Linked DNA regions of Anolis sagrei. The protein of the gene in region 1 interacts with the protein of each later gene in a biochemical or structural test. Links are inferred from orthologs where the notes say so. Each region holds a gene or a part of one and is shown on either strand. Other genes may lie near its edges.

Region 1 (7,546 bases):
TTTCGACAGCAAGATCAAACCTGTCCATACTCCAGGAAATAATGCCCAGCTGGGAAGGATATTAGAGGCCAAGATGAAGTACTTTGGCCACATCAAGAGAAGACAGGAAAGCTTAGAGAAGACAATGATGCTGGGGAAAATGGAAGGAAAAAGGAAAAGGGGCCGACCAAGGGCAAGATGGATGGATGGTATCTTTGAAAGGACTGGCTTGACCTTGAAGGAGCTGGGGGTGGTGACAGCAGACAGAAAGAGTTGGAAGCAACTGAAAAAATAAACAACAAAATGTGCTTTCAAGTTGATTGGCAATTCTAAGACAATCACAACATGGGGTGTTCTTGGCAATATTTCTTCAGAAAACGCTTGCCACTGTTTTTCTCCAAGTCTGTGTGGCCTGCCCAAGGTCACCAACTGGGCTTACATGGCCAAACAAGGATTCGAACTCTGGTCTTCCAGAATCCTAGTCCAACACCCAAACCAAAACACTGTGCTGGCTCTTTTCATGGACGTAATTTGTCACCAATAGCTAACAATGATCTGAATGGGTTGCTGTAAGTTTTCTGGGCTGTATGGCCATGTTCCAGAAGCATTTTCTCCTGATGTTTCACCCACATCTATGGCAGGCATCCTCAGAACAAAACATTACAACCTCAAAGGATGCCTGCCATAGGTGTGGGCAAAACATCAGGAGAGAATGCTTCCGGAACATGGCCATACAGCCTGGGAAATTGACAGCAACGCCGTGAATTCAGCTATGAAAACCTTCGACAGCACAATGATTTGATTGCTAGGCTGTAGGATACTAAGGAATGAAAGCCAATGTAGTAGAATGTTGTTTTGCAAGATCTTTAGCTTTCTCTGCCACAGGATGGCTCACCAAACTACAAATCCAAAGATTCAACAGCACTGAGCCCTGGAAGTGGTGTCAAACTGCAATAATTCCACAGTGAAGATGCGCCCTAGGCCTCTGGAAACTACTTAACCATATTGCAAACCATGGGAGAACTTGGATCAATCATATTCTCTCAATCTCTGAGAAAGCCAATGGCAAAGCTTTTCTGAACAAATCCTGCCAACAAAAATCTGCAATAGGGTGGTTATATGCTGCAAATGATATAAAGGCACACAACAACTACACACAAGGATACCAAGGACCAGTCCCAAGACATACTGCTCTGTGGGGCAAAAGACAAGATAAGCAACCCTAGCCACCTTGAGTGGCTGTATCAGGAGAAAGACAAGATAACAATACAGCAAATGAAAATTGAAGAAAAAAATACTTGTTCACCCCATAAAAATCTAATACAATTGTGCAATCTGGGCCTGCAGTTCTTGCAACATGTCTAAGTGGGGCCTTTCACAAAATCTGGGGTGCATCGCTGATTCCCAAACTCTAGTCCTCCAGGTGTTTTGGACTCCCAGAAGCCTCAACAGCTCTGACCAATGATCAGGGAATCCAGGAACTGATGTTCAAAAGACCTGAAGAACGAGTTTAGGAAAGACCGAATTAACACACATTGACACCCCTTGAACTGCCCTGGCTCGAGGCTATGGAAACCTGGGAATTGCAGCTTCCCAAGGCCTTTAGCCCTCTCTGTCAAGAGTGCTGGGGCCTCAACAATCTAGGATTCGACAGCATTGAGCCATCAAAGTTCAAGTAGAGTTACACTACATTCGTTCTACAGTGTAGGCCAAACTTTGCCCCTCCAAAATCAGGCATGGGCAAATTTCAGCCTTTTGGACTTCAGAACACACTACATTCATTCTACAGTGTAGGCCAAACTTTGCTCCTCCAAAATCAGGCATGGGCAAATTTCAGCCCACGGGTGTTTTGGACTTCAGAAATTCCACCCAGTTTATCAGTTGTTAGGAATTATAAGAGTTGGAAGTCCAAAACACCTGGAGGGTTGAAGTTCACCCATGCCTGCTCCAGGTGTTTGTGACTTCAACTCCCAGCATTTAAACTAGAATAAAATTTCAGAATGCAGTTTAACTGCATTGAACTGGATTATTTTATTCTACACTACCATAGAACCCAGTTCAATGCAGTCAATGTGCATTCTGAAACTGGATTTGATGACAGTGTAGACCAGGCACGGGCACACTTGGGCCGTCCAGGTGTTTTGGACTTCAACTCCCACAATTCCTAGCAGCCTCAGGCCCTTTCCTTTTACCCCTCAGCCACTTACGGCTGAGGGGGAAAAGGAAAGGGCCTTAGGCTGCTAGGAATTGTGGGAGTTGAAGTCCAAAACACCTGGACGGCCCAAGTGTGCCCATACCTGTGATAGCTTCTTCATCTCCAAGCTTTGCTGCATGAGGCCACCGCCTCACCTCCTTCTCCTCCTTGGCCTGGGCCAAGGGGACGGTGTCGCAGGCCTTGTGGGTGACCAAGCAGAAGCAGCAGATGCACCTGCCGTGGTCCTGGCAGTGGAACTCGAGGAGCTTGCCGTGGTCGGGGCACTTCCTGCTGTGGAGGTCCCTCACGGGGGGCACCAGGTGGTGGCCCTTGAAGGCCGGGCTCTCCAGGTGAGGCCGGAGGTGCTCCTGGCAGAAGGAGGCCATACAGCTGAGGCAGGTCTGGGCCGCTTGGGCCCCAAAGCAGCTGTCGCAAGGCACAGGACTCTCCTGGGGGAGCTTCTTCTCCGCCGCTTTGGGGCCCGGGTCTTCCTTGAGGGGCTCCTTCCCAAACTGCTCCACCACTCGGCACAGCACTGTGTTCTTCCTCAACTCAGGGCGGCTGTGGAAGTGGGTCCTGCATTGGGGGCAGCTGAAGCCCTCGCCTGAGGCCTTCCCGGGGCCCCAGGTCATTTCCAAGCAGGGCAGGCAGAAGTTGTGCCCGCAGGGGGTGGTCACTGGGCTCTCGAAGAGGCAGAGGCAGATGGAGCAGGTCAGCTCCTCTTCCAGGCCGAAGAGGACCGGCAGAGAGGGCGCCCTGGCCACCTCAGCCATGGCTGGAAGCAGAGTGAAGCGAAAGCAAGCCGAGGAGGCTCTTAAGCACTGCCAGCGGAGAAGCGAAACTCAGGAGGAACCACTTATTGGAAGTCACGTGACGCAGAGAAGCCCAGCCAGAATACACACACACAGCATGAGCAACACCCTCCCCTCTCTCTCCGTTTAGTGACCCACGGAAAGAGAAACGCCCGCTCTTTCTCTTTCTCTTTCCCCCGCTCTCCTTTCCATTCAGGGCTGGGGAGTTAACGCACTTCGACACCACTTTAATAGCTCAAGGCTATGGCGGGCTAGCCTGTGTGTGTGTATATATATATCACATCGCTGTATATCTATATAATACTAGCTTTACCCACCACGCGTTGCTGTGGCCAACCTTCTCTCCCTCTTTCTCTCCTTCTTTCACTCCTTCCTTCATTTCCTTTTCTTCTTTCCTTTCTTCCTTCTCTACCTGTTTACTTCCTTCCTTAGCTTTTTGCTCCCATCCTTCCTTCTCTTTATTTCTTTCCTTCCCTCCCTCTTTCTCTCCTTCTTTCTCTTCTTCCTTTGCTCCGTCTTTCCTCCCTTTCCTTTTTCTTTCCTTCTCTCCTCCTTCTTTCTCTTCCTCTTTCCTTCCTCCTCCCTTTTTATTTTCCTTCCTCTTCCTCTTTCTTCCCTCTCTATCTCTTTCCTTCCTTCCTTCGCTCTTGACTTCCAGACTTCCTTTTCTTTCTTTCTTTTCTTCCCTCCCTTTCTCTTCTTCCTTTGCTTTTTTCCCTCTTCCCCTTCCCAAATTCCCCTTCCTTCCTTCCTTCCTTCCTTTTGACACCTTCCCTTCCCCTTCCCTTTCTTCTTTTTTTCTATCTTTCTTTCATTTCCTCCTTCCTTCCTTTCTCCCTTCTTTCCCATCCTCCTTCTCTCTCTGTATTCTTTCTTTCCTACCTTTCTTCTTTCATATACCTTCTCAACTTCCCTCCCTCCCTCCCTCCCTCCCTCCCTTCCTTCCTTCCTTCCTTTTGACACCTTCCCTTCCCCTTCCCTTTCTTCTTTTTTTCTATCTTTCTTTCATTTCCTCCTTCCTTCCTTTCTCCCTTCTTTCCCATCCTCCTTCTCTCTCTGTATTCTTTCTTTCCTACCTTTCTTCTTTCATATACCTTCTCAACTTCCCTCCCTCCCTCCCTCCCTCCCTCCCTTCCTTCCTTCCTTCCTTCCTTTTGACACCTTCCCTTCCCCTTCCCTTTCTTCTTTTTTTCTATCTTTCTTTCATTTCCTCCTTCCTTCCTTTCTCCCTTCTTTCCCATCCTCCTTCTCTCTCTGTATTCTTTCTTTCCTACCTTTCTTCTTTCATATACCTTCTCAACTTCCCTCCCTCCCTCCCTCCCTCCCTTCCTTCCTTCCTTCCTTTTGACACCTTCCCTTCCCCTTCCCTTTCTTCTTTTTTTCTATCTTTCTTTCATTTCCTCCTTCCTTCCTTTCTCCCTTCTTTCCCATCCTCCTTCTCTCTCTGTATTCTTTCTTTCCTACCTTTCTTCTTTCATATACCTTCTCAACTTCCCTCCCTCCCTCCCTCCCTTCCTTCCTTCCTTCCTTTTGACACCTTCCCTTCCCCTTCCCTTTCTTCTTTTTTTCTATCTTTCTTTCATTTCCTCCTTCCTTCCTTTCTCCCTTCTTTCCCATCCTCCTTCTCTCTCTGTATTCTTTCTTTCCTACCTTTCTTCTTTCATATACCTTCTCAACTTCCCTCCCTCCCTCCCTCCCTCCCTCCCTTCCTTCCTTCCTTCCTTTTGACACCTTCCCTTCCCCTTCCCTTTCTTCTTTTTTTCTATCTTTCTTTCATTTCCTCCTTCCTTCCTTTCTCCCTTCTTTCCCATCCTCCTTCTCTCTCTGTATTCTTTCTTTCCTACCTTTCTTCTTTCATATACCTTCTCAACTTCCCTCCCTCCCTCCCTCCCTCCCTTCCTTCCTTCCTTCCTTCCTTTTGACACCTTCCCTTCCCCTTCCCTTTCTTCTTTTTTTCTATCTTTCTTTCATTTCCTCCTTCCTTCCTTTCTCCCTTCTTTCCCATCCTCCTTCTCTCTCTGTATTCTTTCTTTCCTACCTTTCTTCTTTCATATACCTTCTCAACTTCCCTCCCTCCCTCCCTCCCTCCCTTCCTTCCTTCCTTCCTTTTGACACCTTCCCTTCCCCTTCCCTTTCTTCTTTTTTTCTATCTTTCTTTCATTTCCTCCTTCCTTCCTTTCTCCCTTCTTTCCCATCCTCCTTCTCTCTCTGTATTCTTTCTTTCCTACCTTTCTTCTTTCATATACCTTCTCAACTTCCCTCCCTCCCTCCCTCCCTCCCTCCCTCCCTTCCTTCCTTCCTTCCTTTTGACACCTTCCCTTCCCCTTCCCTTTCTTCTTTTTTTCTATCTTTCTTTCATTTCCTCCTTCCTTCCTTTCTCCCTTCTTTCCCATCCTCCTTCTCTCTCTGTATTCTTTCTTTCCTACCTTTCTTCTTTCATATACCTTCTCAACTTCCCTCCCTCCCTCCCTCCCTCCCTCCCTCCCTTCCTTCCTTCCTTCCTTCCTTTTGACACCTTCCCTTCCCCTTCCCTTTCTTCTTTTTTTCTATCTTTCTTTCATTTCCTCCTTCCTTCCTTTCTCCCTTCTTTCCCATCCTCCTTCTCTCTCTGTATTCTTTCTTTCCTACCTTTCTTCTTTCATATACCTTCTCAACTTCCCTCCCTCCCTCCCTCCCTCCCTCCCTTCCTTCCTTCCTTCCTTCCTTTTGACACCTTCCCTTCCCCTTCCCTTTCTTCTTTTTTCTATCTTTCTTTCATTTCCTCCTTCCTTCCTTTCTCCCTTCTTTCCCATCCTCCTTCTCTCTCTGTATTCTTTCTTTCCTACCTTTCTTCTTTCATATACCTTCTCAACTTCCCTCCCTCCCTCCCTCCCTCCCTCCCTCCCTCCCTTCCTTCCTTCCTTCCTTTTGACACCTTCCCTTCCCCTTCCCTTTCTTCTTTTTTTCTATCTTTCTTTCATTTCCTCCTTCCTTCCTTTCTCCCTTCTTTCCCATCCTCCTTCTCTCTCTGTATTCTTTCTTTCCTACCTTTCTTCTTTCATATACCTTCTCAACTTCCCTCCCTCCCTCCCTCCCTCCCTCCCTCCCTTCCTTCCTTCCTTCCTTCCTTTTGACACCTTCCCTTCCCCTTCCCTTTCTTCTTTTTTTCTATCTTTCTTTCATTTCCTCCTTCCTTCCTTTCTCCCTTCTTTCCCATCCTCCTTCTCTCTCTGTATTCTTTCTTTCCTACCTTTCTTCTTTCATATACCTTCTCAACTTCCCTCCCTCCCTCCCTCCCTCCCTTCCTTCCTTCCTTCCTTTTGACACCTTCCCTTCCCCTTCCCTTTCTTCTTTTTTTCTATCTTTCTTTCATTTCCTCCTTCCTTCCTTTCTCCCTTCTTTCCCATCCTCCTTCTCTCTCTGTATTCTTTCTTTCCTACCTTTCTTCTTTCATATACCTTCTCAACTTCCCTCCCTCCCTCCCTCCCTCCCTTCCTTCCTTCCTTCCTTTTGACACCTTCCCTTCCCCTTCCCTTTCTTCTTTTTTTCTATCTTTCTTTCATTTCCTCCTTCCTTCCTTTCTCCCTTCTTTCCCATCCTCCTTCTCTCTCTGTATTCTTTCTTTCCTACCTTTCTTCTTTCATATACCTTCTCAACTTCCCTCCCTCCCTCCCTCCCTCCCTCCCTCCCTCCCTTCCTTCCTTCCTTCCTTTTGACACCTTCCCTTCCCCTTCCCTTTCTTCTTTTTTTCTATCTTTCTTTCATTTCCTCCTTCCTTCCTTTCTCCCTTCTTTCCCATCCTCCTTCTCTCTCTGTATTCTTTCTTTCCTACCTTTCTTCTTTCATATACCTTCTCAACTTCCCTCCCTCCCTCCCTCCCTCCCTCCCTTCCTTCCTTCCTTCCTTTTGACACCTTCCCTTCCCCTTCCCTTTCTTCTTTTTTTCTATCTTTCTTTCATTTCCTCCTTCCTTCCTTTCTCCCTTCTTTCCCATCCTCCTTCTCTCTCTGTATTCTTTCTTTCCTACCTTTCTTCTTTCATATACCTTCTCAACCTCCCTCCCTCCCTTCCTTCCTTCCTTCCTTCCTTTCTCTGTTCGCGCAGCATCCTGGTCCCCAGCGATGCGTTCTAGAACTACAGTTCCCAGAGTGCATTGCGTGTGTACTTCCTCCCCTGGGCACTGAGCATGCTCAGTTGGTTTTTGTAATTGTGAGTTTGTTGAAATGTTGTTTGGAATTTTGATTCACGTTGTGCATACCTTGTGGGTTGAGGTATGTGCACGGCAAATTTGGTGAGTTTTCGTCGGGGGGTTTCCGCGTTTTGCTGTCCCGTTGAACACCCTTTCCATTTTTATATATATAGATATATAAATGCTCTGTGCATAATGAGTACCTTAAAAACAAAAGAACCAATGAACGAAATCACACCAAATTTGGCAACGAAACATCTCACTACACAAAGAGTGACCATCACTCAAAAAATTATGATTTTGTCATTTGGGAGTTGTAGTTGCTGGGATTTATAGTTCACCTATAATCAAAGAGCGTTCTGAACTCCACCAAATGATGGAACTGAACCAAACT
Region 2 (8,005 bases), about 61 Mb from region 1:
CAGCAGGTTAATCACCAAGCTAGAATACATCTTGCCAACCGGAAGGCTGATAGTTTGAAGCCCGGGTCAAGGTGACCATCTGACCTTCTACCCAGCTTTTGCCATCTAGCAATTAGAAAACAAATGTGAGTAGATAAATAGGGACTGCATTAAAGTAGGGAGGTATTTTAGACACTGTTGTACCTCGGAGTAGGTTCACCTTGCTGAAAACACCAAACTGCACACAGCCAGAAGTCTTTATAGTTTATTAAAAAGTAAAAGATAAAAAGCTCTTAAAAACAAAAGTAATGTTCCAAAAGATCAATACAAAAAGCACTTTGAAGCATGATTTAAAAAGGCACCAGCAAAGCAAAATCCCATGAGAACATGACTAAATCCTGAGACCATGAACACAAGAACTGCAAGATAATCTAGACAAGCAAATACAAGCTCCTTGGTTAAATGAAAAGTTGCCCTGACAAAGGTTTGGTCCCAAACACACTGCTTAACACCCTTTGCAAAACATAAAGGTGTTTCTTTGGCCTCTGACCTCCTTCTTGTTAGCTATTCTCACACTCCTTCGAACTCTGAATTCCAAACGGTCAGCATGATCTAAGGTTCCCATTTCGTCAAGGTCAGTCTGTTCGTTAGTGTTATCCTGTTTGCCTTCCTGCTTATTATCAGGCTGAGAAATGTCCTCCTTTTCTGAATCAATTTGCACCTGCACCTGGCTAGTTTCGGTATCAACAATCTCATTTCTTGCTGTGGGAAACTGAACTTGCATCCCCTGTTCCTCATTGTCTATAACAGGGGCATTTTGGACCAGATTGTGAACTTGAATCCCATCATCCTCATCAGAGATACTCTGTGATTCCAGCTGACCATCAGAGGCACTCTGTGGTTCCAGCTCAGTCACAATAGGCATGGTGTTTCGATCAGAAAAAAGAGGAAGTTTATAAACAAAGAAACGCTCTTCAACAAGGAGATGGAGTGACAGCACTCCCTTGTGGCCGGAAATGAGCACAGCCTCCAAAGATGCCAAAAGATGGGAAAGCATGTGCGTATATACATACACACACTCCTCTATCTATTGTCCGTTTTGTCATTGTATAATCGGCACTGAATATTTGCTGTATATGTGTTCTGTGAACCACTCTGAGTCCCCTTTGGGGTGAGAAGGGCGGAATATAAAAACCATAAATTAAAATAAAATAGAAATAAACACTGATCACTGGCGATGAGTCCTGGGTTTAGGGGTATGAGCCAGAAACCAAATTGCAGTCATCACAATGGATGCATCCAACATCCTCAAAGCCAAAAAGAAAAAGGCAAGTCCAAAAAAAAGTCATGCTGACGGTCTACTTTGACTCCAGTGTTGTGGTTCATCACAAGTATGTAACACATGGTACTACCATCAACAAGGAGTACTACCAAGTGGTTCTATGTTGGCTTTGTAAACCTGTGAGACGCAAATGACAGGACCTGTAGGCAGCGGGCAATTGGCAGCTCCATCATAAAAATGCACCTTCCCATTCTTCAAATTTGATATAGAGTTTCCTGGGCAAACACAGCACACCTGTGCTTCGTCTGAGTCCCTACTTTCCCAACATGATTCCATGTGACTTCTGCGAGTGTCTCATGGCCATTACACCATTACAAAAGATGGTGAATGAAGTCTGCTTATGGTGGCCCTATGTCTACACTGTAGAACGAATGCACATCAACACCATTTTAACAGCCATGTCTCAATGCTGTGGAATAAGAGAAGTTATCATTTTATAAGGTCTTCAGCCTCTTCTGTCAAAGAGTGTTGGTGCTTGACCAAATTACAACTCCTAGGATTCCATAGCATTGAGCCATGGCAGATAAAGTGGTGTTCATTCTACAGTGTAGACACACTCATAGTCATAGTGCTGCCATAAACTGAAGGAAAAAACAAGGTAACGACTCAATAGTGGGGAAATAAACTACTACATGCACCCCTCCCAGTTTAGAAAGGGAGAGTATGGAAGGCGTGCCCTAATTTAATCCAGTTTGAGGTCCTTTCCAATCCACTCTATAAGATCCTACATTATCTGCTTTGAACTGGGATATATGGCAGTGGTGACTCAGATAACCCAGTTCAAAGCAGATATGTTGGGATTTTCAGCCTTGATATTCTGGGTTATATGGCTGTGTGGAAGGGCCCTCCGTTTAAAATTCCTGCTTAGTGTACCCAATCCTCCTAAAAATGATTCCCCCCCCCTTAGTTCTGGTTTGAATTACAATCCTGATCTATTTATATGTGTGGCAAGCATCCAGAGAATGTTATGTAATTACTTTCCTCTTGGATAAATGAAAGTGTCCTTAGTTTCTATTTCTTCAAGCCCAAGCACAGTAAAAGGAGAAGGAAACTCCTTGCATCTCCAGTCAATAATCCAGAAGGAAAGAAAACACCCTTCTGCACTATGTGTGCAAACACAACTCAGTCATTAACTTTAACATGGCTGTAACATTGGACACATATCCTTGGGAGTGAGTACGCTGTGTCCTATTCACAGGGGACGCTGTGGTTTTTAGTTCTAAATATGTTTTTATGGTTTTTAACCATTGTTGGAATACTGCCATATAATCCAGTTCATAGCAGATAATCCGGATTTTATCTGGTAGTGTAGAAGAGGCCCCATATAATCCAGTTTAAAGCAGATAATGTGGATTATATGCTTTGATGATCTGGATTATATGGCAGGGTAGAAGGGGCCAGAGGCAATGTAGAAGGTGTCCTCATTGCCATATAATTCAGTTCAATGTGGATTTTATACAGCTGTGTGGAAGGTGCCTGAGAGCCCTTCCAAACAGGCCCTATATCCCAGGAACTGATATGCCGGATGCATTTTCATTCACTGGACCAAATTTGGTCCAAATACCCAATATGTCCAAATTTGAATACTGGTGGAGTTGGGGGGAGGAACTGATTTGTCATTTGGGAGTTGTAGTTACTGGGATTTAGAGTTCACCTACAATCAAAGAGCATTCTGAATTCCACCAACAATGGAATTGAACCAAACTTGGCACACAGAACTCCCATGACTAAGAGAAAATACTGGAAGGGTTTGGTGGGCATTGACCTTGAGTTTTGGAGTTGTAGTTCACCTACATCCAGAGAGCACTGTGGACTCAAACAATGATGGATCTGGACCAACTTGGCACGAATACTTAATATGCCAAAAAGTGAACACTGGTGGAGGTTTGGGGAAAAACAGACCTACCAATTCATCACACTAGAGAATGAATCCACATTAAATCCGGCTTCTGCCTCCTGCAGAATTCTGGGGTTTGTAGTTTAGTGAGGCTGTCAAAGGCTCCTCCCTAAACTACAAACCCCAGAATTCTGCAGAAAGCAACAACCAGATTTAAGGTGGATTTATACTGTAGTGTGATGAGGCCCCCTGACATTTGGGAGTTGTAGTTGCTGGGATTTATGGTTCACCTACCGTCCAAGAGCATTCTGAACCCTACCAATGATAGAATTGGGCCAAACTTCCCACAGAGAACTCCCATGACCAACAGAAAATACTGGAAGGGCCTAGTGGGTATTGACCTTGAGTTTGGGAGTTGTAGTTCAGCTACATCCAGAGAGCACTGTAGACACAAACAATGATGGATCTGGACCAAACTTGGCAGGGATACAGAGGTGGCCGTAGGTAATTTTCAATGGTAAGCAAACAGTATTTTGGTGCCCCCTCCCCAAACCAAACACTGATTATATATATATATAAATGGATATGGGCATGGACAAATTTTGTCCAAAACACATGGAGGGCCGAAGTTGGCCCATGCCATATATATATATATATATATATATACACGCACATACATACACACACACACACACACACACACACGGATACGCAATATGCCCAAATGTAAACACAAGTGGAGTTTGGGGAAAACAGACCTTGACATTTGGGAGTTGTAGTTGCTGGGATTGATAGTTCACCTACAATCAAAGAGCATTCTGAAGTCCGCCAACGATGGAGTTGAAACAAACTTGGGACACAGAACTGTCATGGCCAACAGAAAATACTGGAAGGGTTTTGGTGGGCATTGACCTTGAGCTTTTGGAGTTGTAGTTCACCTACATCCAGAGAGCACTGTGGAATGAAACAATGATGGATCTGGACAGGCCCGTAGCCAGGATTTCGATTCGGGGGGGGGGGGGGGGGGGGGGCTGAGTTTTTTTCAGGGGGGGTTCGGGGGGGCTGAGTTTCGGGGGGGGGGGCTGAGTCTGAGTGAAAGTGGGTCTACCCTAGCAAACCTTTTGTATCATTGCCCCAGTACCCCCATGCATATGGGATATATTGAGTATGGTGATCAGATCATGATATGAATAACGTAACAGTTTAAATAATGCACCAGTAAGGCCTTTTCGCGAACCGCCATGAGAATTTCGGGGGGGGGGGGTTTAAGCCCCTCAAGCTCCCCCCCCTCCCCCCCGCTACATGCCTGGATCTGGACCAAACTTGGCAGAAATACTCAATATGCCGAAAAGCCAACACTGGTGGAGTTTGGGGAAAATAGACCTTGACATTTGGGAGTTGTAGTTTGTCTGGTTCACCTACCGACAAAGAGTATTCTGAACTCCACCTACGATCGAATTGGGCCAAACTTCCCACACCGAATCCCTATGACCAACAGAAAAAAACGTTTTTTTCTGATGGTCTTTGGCGATCCCCCTGACACTCTCCTTGCGACCCCTCGGTTGAGAAACGCTGCTGTAGAATGAATGCAACTTGATTCTGCTTGAATTGCATAGCTGGCTACTCTGAGTCCGTGGGCACCCAAGTTTTGCACAGGCTTTCGCTTGGTCCAGAGGGCTCCCCAAAGTGCAACTCCCGGGATTCCCCGGCCTGGAGATAGATCTAGCAGTTGAAGTGCTGCCAAACCTTTTCCTCCTCGACTCTCCGCCTGCTTTCGGTTTCTCTGCCTTGGGTTTCGTTTCCAGCCCGGGCTCCGCCTCTCTTCCCAGCCGGTCGGCTTCTGGAGAGGGAAAGGGAAGCCGGCGGAGGAGGAGGAGGAGGAGGAGGAGGCTGCGCCCCGGGACCCTTGCCCCCAGCCTGGGGGCCCCCTGCCTTGCTTCCTCTATAAGAGTGCTTGGGAGGCAGGGAAGAGAGCCTCGCCTTCGCCATGAGTGCCGAGGAGAAGGAGAACTTGCTCCGCTTCGGGCATTACATCCAGAAGACCCTCAACCCCGTCTACATCCTCTGCTACATGAAGGACTGGCTCTCCGATGGTCAGCATCTCCCTCTCCCTCCTCTCTCCCTTCTGCTCCCAGTGTGTGCCTGCACTTACTTATTATTATGGGTGTGCACAAGGGAGTGTATATAGGCGCGCCCCCCCCACACACACATCGCTGGGTATATCGATATAGAAGGATGTGTGTATGTATTTGTGAGTATGTTTGCATGTATATGTATATGCATGTATATGTGTATCAATATATGTGCACATAAGTGTCCACAGATGTGTGTAAGTATGCAACTCTGCCCAGGGACTGAAGACCATGTCATCATGTTGTGTATACATTTTTGCATTATGTGTATATATGTATGGGTAGGTAATGGTGCTCCATGCAGTCATGCTGGCCACATGACCTTGGAGGTGTCTATGGACAACACTGGCTCTTTGGCTTAGAAATGGAGATGAGCAGGGCCGTAGCCAGAAAATTTTTTCGGGAGGGGTTGAAATTTTCGGGGGGGGGGGGTGAAACCTGCCTCCTAGCTCACGCTGAAGCAAAGAGCACAGCAGGGGGCAGAGCAGCCTTCAATAGCCTGCCCCTCCGCCCCTGTCAACCACCTCCACCAAGTCTGGCCTCCTTAATGAGAGCATTCAACACACACACACCCAACTTGGTTGCTTCGCTACATCGGCTATTGCTGCAAGTAATGACAGTGTGAATAAATTGTCAATATTTGCCTGAGATAGTGCTTTAAGAACGGAAAACGGAACGTTGGTGGACAGGAAAAGAGATTTAAAGATGGGCTGAAAGCCAACCTTAAAAACTCTGGCATAGACACTGAGAACTGGGAAGCCCTGGCCCTTGAGCGCTCCAGCTGGAGGACAGCTGTGACCAGCAGTGCTGCAGAATTCGAGGAGGCACGAGTGGAGGGTGAAAGAGAGAAACGTGCCAGGAGGAAGGCGCGTCAAGCCAACCCCGACCGGGAACGCCTTCCACCTGGAAACCAATGCCCTCACTGCGGAAGAAGATGCAGAGCAAGAATAGGGCTCCACAGCCACATACGGACCCACAAGGAAATCCATAATGGAAGACCATCTTACTCGTCCAACGAGGGATCGCCTAAGTAAGTAAGTAAGAGATAGTGCTTGCAGTTCTGGAAGGACTCTTAATTTTTTGCATCTCATAGACTTAGCATGGGGATTTGGTTAACCAGTTAAAATTCATGAGTAAACCAGGTTTTTTAAAAAATCTGAAACATTTGGGGGGGGGGGGGGTTGAACCCCTAACCCCCCCCCTCGCTACAGGCCTGGAGATGAGCACCAACCCCCAGAGTTGGACACGACTGGACTTAATGTCAGGAGACAGCCTTTACCTTTTACCTATGTATGGGTATATATGTATGTATATGTGTGAATGTATGTGTATATGTTTGTACCTACATGCGCCCTCTATGTATGTACATGTGTGTGTCCATGTGTTCATCTGTATACGTGTATGTTGATTGAAGTTGTGGTAGGGATTGAAGACCATGTGATCATGCTGTGTATACGTTTTTCATATATGTGTATATATGTATGGGCATATATGTATGTATATTTATGTATGTATGTGCATGTTTTTGTGTATATGTGTGCCCTATATGTATGTACATGTGTGTGTGCATGTGTCCATCTGTATATGTGTGCTGTTTAACTATGTTGATTGTGGTTGTGGGAGGAACTGAAGACCATGTGATCATGTTGTGTATACATTTTTGCATATATGTGTATATATATGTATGGGTACATACAGGCCCATAGCCAGGATTTCGTTTCAGGGGGGGGGGGGCTGAATTTTTTTCAGGGGGGGGTTCGGGGGGGGCTGAGTTTCGGGGGGGGGGCTGAGTCTGAGTGAAAGAGGGTCTAGCCTAGCAAACCTTTTGTATTATTACCCCAATACCCCCATGCATATGGGATATATTGAGCATGGTGATCAGATCATGATATGAATAAACATAACAGTTTAAATAATGCACCAGTAAGGCCTTTTCGCGAACCACCATGAGAATTGGGGGGGGGGGGGGAGGAGCTGAAGCCCCTCAAGCCCCCCCCCCCGGCTACATGCCTGGGTACATATGTATGTATATGTTTATGTATGTGTATATATGTGGATGTATGTGCATACATGTGTGGCACTTTCAAACCAGGAACAGATGTTTTTCTAAATTTTGTTACATAGTGTTATAGTTGTCTCTTCACATTTGTGGGTTTCATATCTGTGAATTTGATGATTATTCACAGATTTCATTGAAATTGTTCTCTCTAGGAATCTCTAGGTTCAAAAAGTAAATCAATTTGTGTATATTTAGGGGGAGCAAGTGTGATACTTACTTGGATGTAAGTGCCATTGAATATGCTGTGACTGAATTACCATCCCTTCTCCACCCCACATGCAGCCAGCAGATTGTAACTTCTGCAAAATGCTAACACCATTTGTCAAAAACTGGGAATAGAAATGGGTTTCTGTGAGTTTTCCAGGCTGCATGGCCTTGTTTCAGAAGAAATCTCTCCTGACATTTTGCCCACATCTATGGCAGGCATTCTCAGAGGTTGGGAGGTCTGTTGGAAACCAGGCAACTAAGGTTTATATATCTGTGGCATGTCCAGGGTGGGAGAAAGAACTCTTGTCTGCTTGAGGCAAGTGTGAATGTTGCAATGGGCCACCTTGATTAGTGTTGAATGGCTGCTTCTTGCCTGGGAAAATCCTTTGTTGGAAGGTGTTAGTTGGCCCTGATTGTTTCATGTCAGGAGATATTTTCACCTCATCAGA
Region 3 (7,488 bases), on another chromosome or scaffold:
CATACTCATGGTTGGACTGACTGTGCTGGTTCAAGATTCCTTGGATCCCAGAATTTCAAGTACAAACTAAAGCATGTCCTAAATCTGCCTACTGAAAAATAATGGAACTTGCTGTGAGCCTAAAAGTCAGGCTTAGAGTGTTCTTGGGAAGATTTCTACTGTGTGTGTGTGTGTGTTACTATTGCCTTTATCTTGTGTATGAGTCTTCTTTAAAGTTACAGAAAGGGCTTTTTCCATTAGAGCTGCCGCAAACTAGCCTCCTGCGGGAGCAAACTGTGCCAGCACGTCCCTGACGTCATGAGACTGCGCCTCTCTCTCCGCCCCTTTCTCTGTGCCAGAGTGGTTTTTCCTTTGCTAGGGCAGCATTGCCAGCGTACTCTTGTTGTTGACATAAGGCCCGTCGCAAACTCTTTTCCTGCGAGAGAAACCTTGCTAGCAAGTCCCTGACGTCACGAGCCTGCGCCTCTCTCCCCGCCCCTTTCTCCGCCCCTTTCTCTTTGCGAGCGTGGTTTTTCCTTTGCTAGGGCAGCATTGCCAGCGTACTCTTGTTGTTGACATAAGGCCCGTCGCAAACTCTGTTCCTGCGAGAGAAACCTTGCTAGCAAGTCCCTGACGTCACGAGCCTGCGCCTCTCTCCCCGCCCCTTTCTCCGCCCCTTTCTCTTTGCGAGCGTGGTTTTTCCTTTGCTAGGGCAGCATTGCCCGCATTTTCTCTCAGTTGAATTCTGCCAACTGAGAGAAAATGCGGGCAATGCTGCCCTAGCAGAGGAAAAACCACGCTCGCATGGAGAAAGGGGCAGAGAAAGGGGCGGGGAGAGAGGCGGAGTCTCGTGACGTCAGGGACTTGCTAGCAAGGTTTCTCTCGCAGGAACAGAGTTTGCGACGGGCCTAATTCAACAACGAGAGTACGCTGGCAATGCTGCCCTAGCGAAGGAAAAACCACTCTGGCATGGAGAAAGAGGCGGAGAAAGGGGCGGAGAGAGAGGCGCAGTCTCACGACGTCAGGGACGTGCTGGCACAGTTTGCTCCCGCAGGAGGCTAGTTTGCGACGGGTCTAACAGTCCATTAAAATAGAACTGATACCGATACAAAGGTCTGATGTAAGCAAGGTAGATGTAACTTCAAAGGATGTTTTGATTTTTGACAGTTGAAGGAAATGAACAACAACAAAATTTAACAATAAATATTTAACAGTGTGATAGCGCTGAGTGTGGCTAGGGTGTATCAGTGAATTTGTGTGTACATTGTCAACAACCTTTCAGTGCTTCTGCTGATGACTCGTCTCTTTGGCTTTAATATCACATGAGTTTTTGAATAAACAGAAGTTGTGGTTTCAGTTCTGCCTTATGCTTGTTATTTGAGCAACATAAGGAAGAATTTCTGTTTATATATTGTTAATTTCTGTTGTTGTTGCTGTGTTCTTTCAATTGTTCCCAACATATGAACATCCTATGATGACCCTATCACAGGGATTTCTGAGGCTGAGAGTGTGTAACTCCCCTAAGGTCTCCCAATGGGTTTCTATGGCTGAATGTGGAGTCAAATGTGCAAATCACACTGGTTCCTTAATTTTTGGAAGGTACTGTCTTTTTTAGATCCATGATTACATTTGTTCGGAAACAAGAGGGAGTTTCTGATTTCCTATTTTCCCCGTGAGATTCCCTAGGGTACACCTACACTTTAGCATTAATGTATTTGACACCACTTTAACCATCATGGCTCAGTGCTATAAAACCCTGGGATTTGTTTTTTAGTGAGGCACCAGCACTCTTTGGCAGAGAAGACTAAAGATCATGATAAAAGTACAACTCCCAGAATCCCATGGCATTGAGCCATGGCAGGTACACTTTGGAAGTATCTATTTGAAGGCTTTCTGTTGTGTTCTTCACCCAAAAGTATCTGCAAAGAGTGGATGTACAGTCTGGATGGGGGCGAACAAATTGAAATTGAATCCAGACAAGACAGAGGTACTCCTGGTCAGTCGTAAGGCCGAACAGGGTATAGGGTTACAGCCTGTGTTGGATGGGGTCGCACTCCCCCTGAAGACACAGGTTCGCAGTTTGGGTGTGATCCTGGACTCATCGTTGAGCCTGGAACCCCAGGTTTCAGCGGTGACCAGGGGAGCATTCGCACAGTTAAAACTCGTGCGCCAACTGCGCCCGTACCTTGGGAAGTCTGACTTGGCCACGGTAGTCCACGCTCTGGTTACATCCCGTTTAGACTACTGCAATGCTCTCTACGTGGGGTTGCCTTTGAAGACGGCCCGGAAGCTCCAATTAGTCCAACGCTCGGCAGCCATGATACTAACTGGAGCGGAGCACAGGGAGCATACAACTCCTCTGCTGCACCAGCTCCACTGGCTGCCGATCTGCTACCGGGCTCAATTCAAAGTGCTGGCGCTGGCCTTTAAAGCCCTAAACGGTTCTGGCCCAACTTACCTATCCGAACGTATCTCAACCTATCAGCCCACCAGAACCCTAAGATCTTCTGGGGGGGCCCTGCTCTCTATCCCGCCTGCTTCACAGGTGCGGCTGGCAGGGACGAGAGACAGGGCCTTTTCTGTGATGGCCCCGCGGCTATGGAACGCCCTCCCCATGGAGGTAAGATCAGCCCCCTCATTGATGGTTTTCCGGAAAAGACTAAAAACCTGGATGTTCGAGCAGGCGTTCGGTTAACTCAGTGCAATAAGTGTAATGATTGAAGGACTGGCAATTTGGACGACGAAACTGGATCGCGATTTTAGTCAAGAGATGAATTGGATGGTTTATTGATATATGTATTGTGGATCGTGTTTTTATGCTTTTAAACTGTATACTGTTGTTTGTTATAAGTTGTGTAAACCGCGTTGAGTCGCCGGCTAGGCTGAGAAACGGCGGTATACAAGTATAGCAAATAAATAAAATAATAATAAATTTATTGGTATCTGCCTGCTGTTAATAAATAGGCAAAACCAAAATGGTTCCCCACAGTTCCTCCCCTTGTAGTGCCACAAAAAGGAATGTTTGAAAAGGAAAATTCAATTCCATTTGTAATTACTGTCTGATAATAATAATAAAATTGTTATTATAATATACCAAAAATGATAATTTTATGACAGCTAAAATTATACTTACCATTTTTTTCTGTTCTTAAAGTAAGAACAGAACAGTCTGGTTGTTATTATGTGTCTTCCAAATGTTATTTTCAGTGTATAGAGATTAAATCATAGGGTTTTCATGGTAATTTTTTTCAAAGGAGGTTTGCCTTTGCCTTCCTTTGAGGCTGAGAGAGTGAGGCTTCCTGAAGATTCCATGGTTGAGAAGTAACTCTTTCAAGCTTGGATATGAGGACTAGGTAGCCTCCATGGCATGGTGATGCCTGGAATATCCTTTGAGCATCAGTGGGGCCCCTCTCCATAGTTGTAGAGTGAAAATGGTCAACTAGGCCATTAGTTCTGAGAGTGCCTTGGACTGCGAGAAGATCCAACCAGTCCATCCTCCAGGAAATAAAGCCCGACTGCTCATTGGAGGGAAGGATACTAGAGACAAAGCTGAAGTACTTTGGCCACATCATGAGGAGACAGCAAAGCCTAGAGAAGACAATTATGCTGGGGAAAGTGGAAGGTAAAAGGAAGAGGGGCCGACCAAAGGCAAGATGGATGGATGGCATCCTTGAAGTGACTGGACTGACCTTGAAGGAGCTGGAGGTGGTGACGGCTGACAGGGAGCTCTGGCGTGGGCTGGTCCATGAGGTCACGAAGAGTCGGAGATGACTGAACGAATGAACAACAAAGGCCATTATTTATTTGCAGATTTTAATCCTGCTGATTGGCCTAGGGCAAACTAATCCAATTTATTTATTTTTTATTTGTCGTATCAGAAGTGAACTGAGGGTACAGTTGTAATATATTTTAAAAAACACAAAGTTTTAAAAACTTGGCCTTGTACTAAATGTCCTTCGACTAATAGCTGGCCACTTGGAGTGCCTCTGGTGTTGCTATAAGAAGGTCCTCCATTATGCACGTGGCAGGGCTCAGACTGCATTGCGATAGGTGGTCTGTGGTTTGCTCTTCTCCACACCCGCATGTTGTGGACTCCACTTTGTGGCCAGAAACTAATACAATGTACATTTTTTAAAAGCCAAGCCAAAACATGACAGTTAAAATCAGTACTGCCCCACCACCCTGTAATCCTAAATAAAACAGTCCTAAATCCTAAATAAAACAAGAATGATGACATTCGCTCAAAATGCAATTCAGTCGCCAAGAATTTTTGATAAATCACCCTTTGCCTCCCTTTAGGTCAGGTGGTGCTATCAATGATCTACCTTTGTTGACTTTCTGTTTCCAGCATTCATATGACAGAGTTAAGTTGCCAGGGAGTTACTTGTCTTCAGTTTCGATTCTCTTCGGAGTTGCAGGGAAAATAGGTGGAGCCTAGGTTGGTCTGACTTGAAACCAAACAACTCTTTAACAGACAGGTGGACAGACCAGAGATTGATCATGACTGATCCGGTTGTGTGTAGTTTTATCACCAAGATCCTTTGCTCCATGGGGGGCAGCTCAAGTTATCAGGAGATTCTTCCTGTTTTGGGGCTTCCCGACCACCAGTTAAGGCAGATCTTGGAGCAATCTGGGGAGGAAAGATTTCTGGTCAATGAGCAAGGCACCTCGTCTCAGGTGCTGGCAATCTCTCCGGTGCGTCTGTGTCTGAGGAATGAGTGTGATGGGTGCGAACGTCTTCATATTTGCAAGAACTACATCAAGAAGAAATGTTTCAGGCCTGCTCGTGGCAGATGGTGAGTTGCGGGGTGAGGTTAGAAAGAAAGAGAGAAGAAAAAGAAAAGATGGAAATGAGGAAGGCAGCTTTTGATAGCATTGAAAGAGATAAAAATGGATGTGAGTGGACTGGTACATTGTGACATGGTAGCCAACTCTCAAGAGAGAAAAGAGACAAAAGTCAAAGCAAATGTAGTTTCTGTCTGTTTTCTTCATTAGCCTCAAGTTCAACTGGCACTGCTTAGTTCAGTGGTTTCCAACCAGCGAACTGTGTACCACCGGTGTTCTGCAAGAACTAAAATATGGTCTGTGGCCTCACCATTACTACACTATTGCAACAAGAGCGACTGGTCTCGCAAAACCCTGTCATAGTACCGAGGCTTATTAAATATTGTTTTCTGTGGGTGAACAGATGGTAACTACTCGATGGCATATGTTCTGTATCAGAACTAGAGCTGATGTGGTCTATCTAATGCAATTTTCTGAATCAGCACCCCAAATAACCAAACCAAATTTAAAATTGACCAAAAACTGATTTGTAACCCTTTTGATACTAATGTTGGAGAGTGGTCCCTGGTCAGAGAGATCCCTAGTCAAAAAGGTTTGGGAATCACTGGTTTAGTTAGAAGGCATGAAAGACAAACGTCACCCAGCAACTATAGTGAGATAGCTCACTTTACACCTAAATAATGTTGTTGTTGTTGTGGACCAATAGGATAAACCAGAAGAATAAAGACTAATGTAATTTTGGAAATTTGACCCCATTTACTCTCAAATGAATGTGTGTTAGGTAATGGATTTGAATTTTCAGCTGTGCTCAAATTATAGGTTTTGTGAATGTATTTCAAAAGAAAAGCCATGTTTCAGAATGAACAAATCCATTGTATTATTACTAATAGTTGTTGTATAATACTAATAGTTGTTGTATCTCGGTGGTGGCCCCTCGGCTGTGGAACGCCCTTCCCATGGACATTAGATCAGCTCCCTCATTGATGGTATTTCGGAGAAAAGTGAAAACCTGGTTATTTGAACAGGCGTTTGAATAGGCAGTGCAATGAATTTTAGGAAATGGAACTATGGACGACGAGTTTGGATCATGATTCTAGTTATGAGATGCCAATGAATGAATGTTTATTGTTGTTTAATTGCTTAGTCTGCTATTGTGTTAATTGTTAATTGTTTTTAAATACCTTGTTATGCTGCATTGAATTTTTGCTATTTTGTTGTTAACTGCTATGAGTCGCCTAAGGGCTGAGAATAGCGGTATACAAGTGAAGTAAATAAAATAAAGAAATAAGGAAATAATTTGTACACTTACTGATACTTGTGCCTTTGTTGGGAATGAATGTGTAAATAGACCTCTGGTTTTAAGATGAGCAAGGGCTTAGAGCAGGGGTCCTCAAACTAAGGCCTGGGGGCCGGATACAGCCTTCCAAGATCATTTACCCGGCCCTCGCTCAGGATCAACCTAAGTCTGAAATGACTTGAAAGCACACAACAACAACAATCCTATCTCATCAGCCAAAAGCAGCCCCACACTTCTCATTGATATTTGAGTTTATATTTGTTAAAATTGTTCTTCATTTTAATTATAACATTGTTTTAAAGTGTTTTTTGCACTACAAATAAAACATGTGCAGTGTGCATAGGAATTCATTCATGCTTTTTTCAAATTATAATCCGGCCCTCCAACAGTTCGAGGCACTGTGACCTGGCCCCCTGTTTAAAATGTTTGAGGACCCCTGGCTTAGAGGCTTGCAATAGGTCTCGTTTCTGGTTTTGGTGTAATCTGAGAACCTCTCTTGCTGTGGACTCCAAATGGGAAATCCCAGGATTCCATAGGAAGTTGACATGATAATATGTAACAAAATTTGGAGAGAAAAAAATCTGTTCCCGGTCTGCAAGTGTTATTTCCTGTTTAATTGTACGGTACTCACTTTGAAAGTAGTTGTTATACCCTAGAAACTTTGTTTTTGTGGCTGCCACAAACTATGTTGAATTGATTGAGACCTTATGAGATACTGAAAAACTATAGTAAATTTTCCCACTTCTTATCCTATGTGATTTGGTTCATACATGAAAGTTAACAACTGAGGTGTAGAAGGGGAGACCTTTGAAAAACTAGACCTGTTTTGGCATTCATATTGTGTGCTGCATTAACGTGCTCAGGGAGAGTGACATGGTTCCTGATAATATGGACATTCATTAATGGGTGATGGCAGTGGTGGCTAATAGTCATAATAATGGTTTTCCTTGAGGTTGTGAGTGCGGAAGGAGGGCTCAAAGTTCATCCCTTTCCATGTTTTTATCCCATGGCAAATGTCTTTCTTCGTACCTATAAAACTACTGTGAAACAACTTTGAGATTTTCAGGAAGCTTGTCCCTGTGTCTACAACTACATTTGGCACAGAGTCACAATAAACAGAAGCCTTGTCTTTGAGACAATATGGGGACGCTTTATATATCTTTGTTATTCTTCATAAATTCTATGCAAATTGGAAGTAAATTAGTTTGCCATGCTCAGAAATCACCATTGTGATTGTTTGAAAACAATTTAAAAGGAGAGCTGGAAATACGTTGAAAACAATTTAAAAGGAGAGCTGGAAACACCAGGGCACCAACTTCTGACTTCCTGGTATAAAAAAAGAAAAACATGAACTGGAAAATTGAGTGGAGGGAGGATCCCTCTCCCTCCCTTTGTGTATAAGAGAGTTGAAGGTTTTATTCTTACTT

Evidence for each region.
Region 2: of the proteins of TRIM25 (region 1) and RIGI, one has a biochemical effect on the other in vitro, tested with the Homo sapiens proteins (5 studies listed by BioGRID, with this or other methods). The link is inferred for Anolis sagrei from reciprocal best matches to the Homo sapiens genes TRIM25 and RIGI.
Region 3: of the proteins of TRIM25 (region 1) and protein mono-ADP-ribosyltransferase PARP12-like, one has a biochemical effect on the other in vitro, tested with the Homo sapiens proteins (2 studies listed by BioGRID). The link is inferred for Anolis sagrei from reciprocal best matches to the Homo sapiens genes TRIM25 and ZC3HAV1.

What each region holds. Positions count from the first base shown.
Region 1 is NC_090022.1:144,128,796-144,136,341, forward strand, and holds the start of TRIM25 (E3 ubiquitin/ISG15 ligase TRIM25), read right to left. Parts: upstream 3,051-7,546; 5' UTR 2,947-3,050; coding exon 2,329-2,946; intron 1-2,328.
Region 2 is NC_090022.1:205,270,216-205,278,220, reverse strand, and holds the start of RIGI (antiviral innate immune response receptor RIG-I), read left to right. Parts: upstream 1-4,995; 5' UTR 4,996-5,145; coding exon 5,146-5,251; exon of another isoform or gene 5,252-5,292; intron 5,293-8,005.
Region 3 is NC_090025.1:101,486,857-101,494,344, reverse strand, and holds the start of protein mono-ADP-ribosyltransferase PARP12-like, read left to right. Parts: upstream 1-4,413; 5' UTR 4,414-4,479; coding exon 4,480-4,775; intron 4,776-7,488.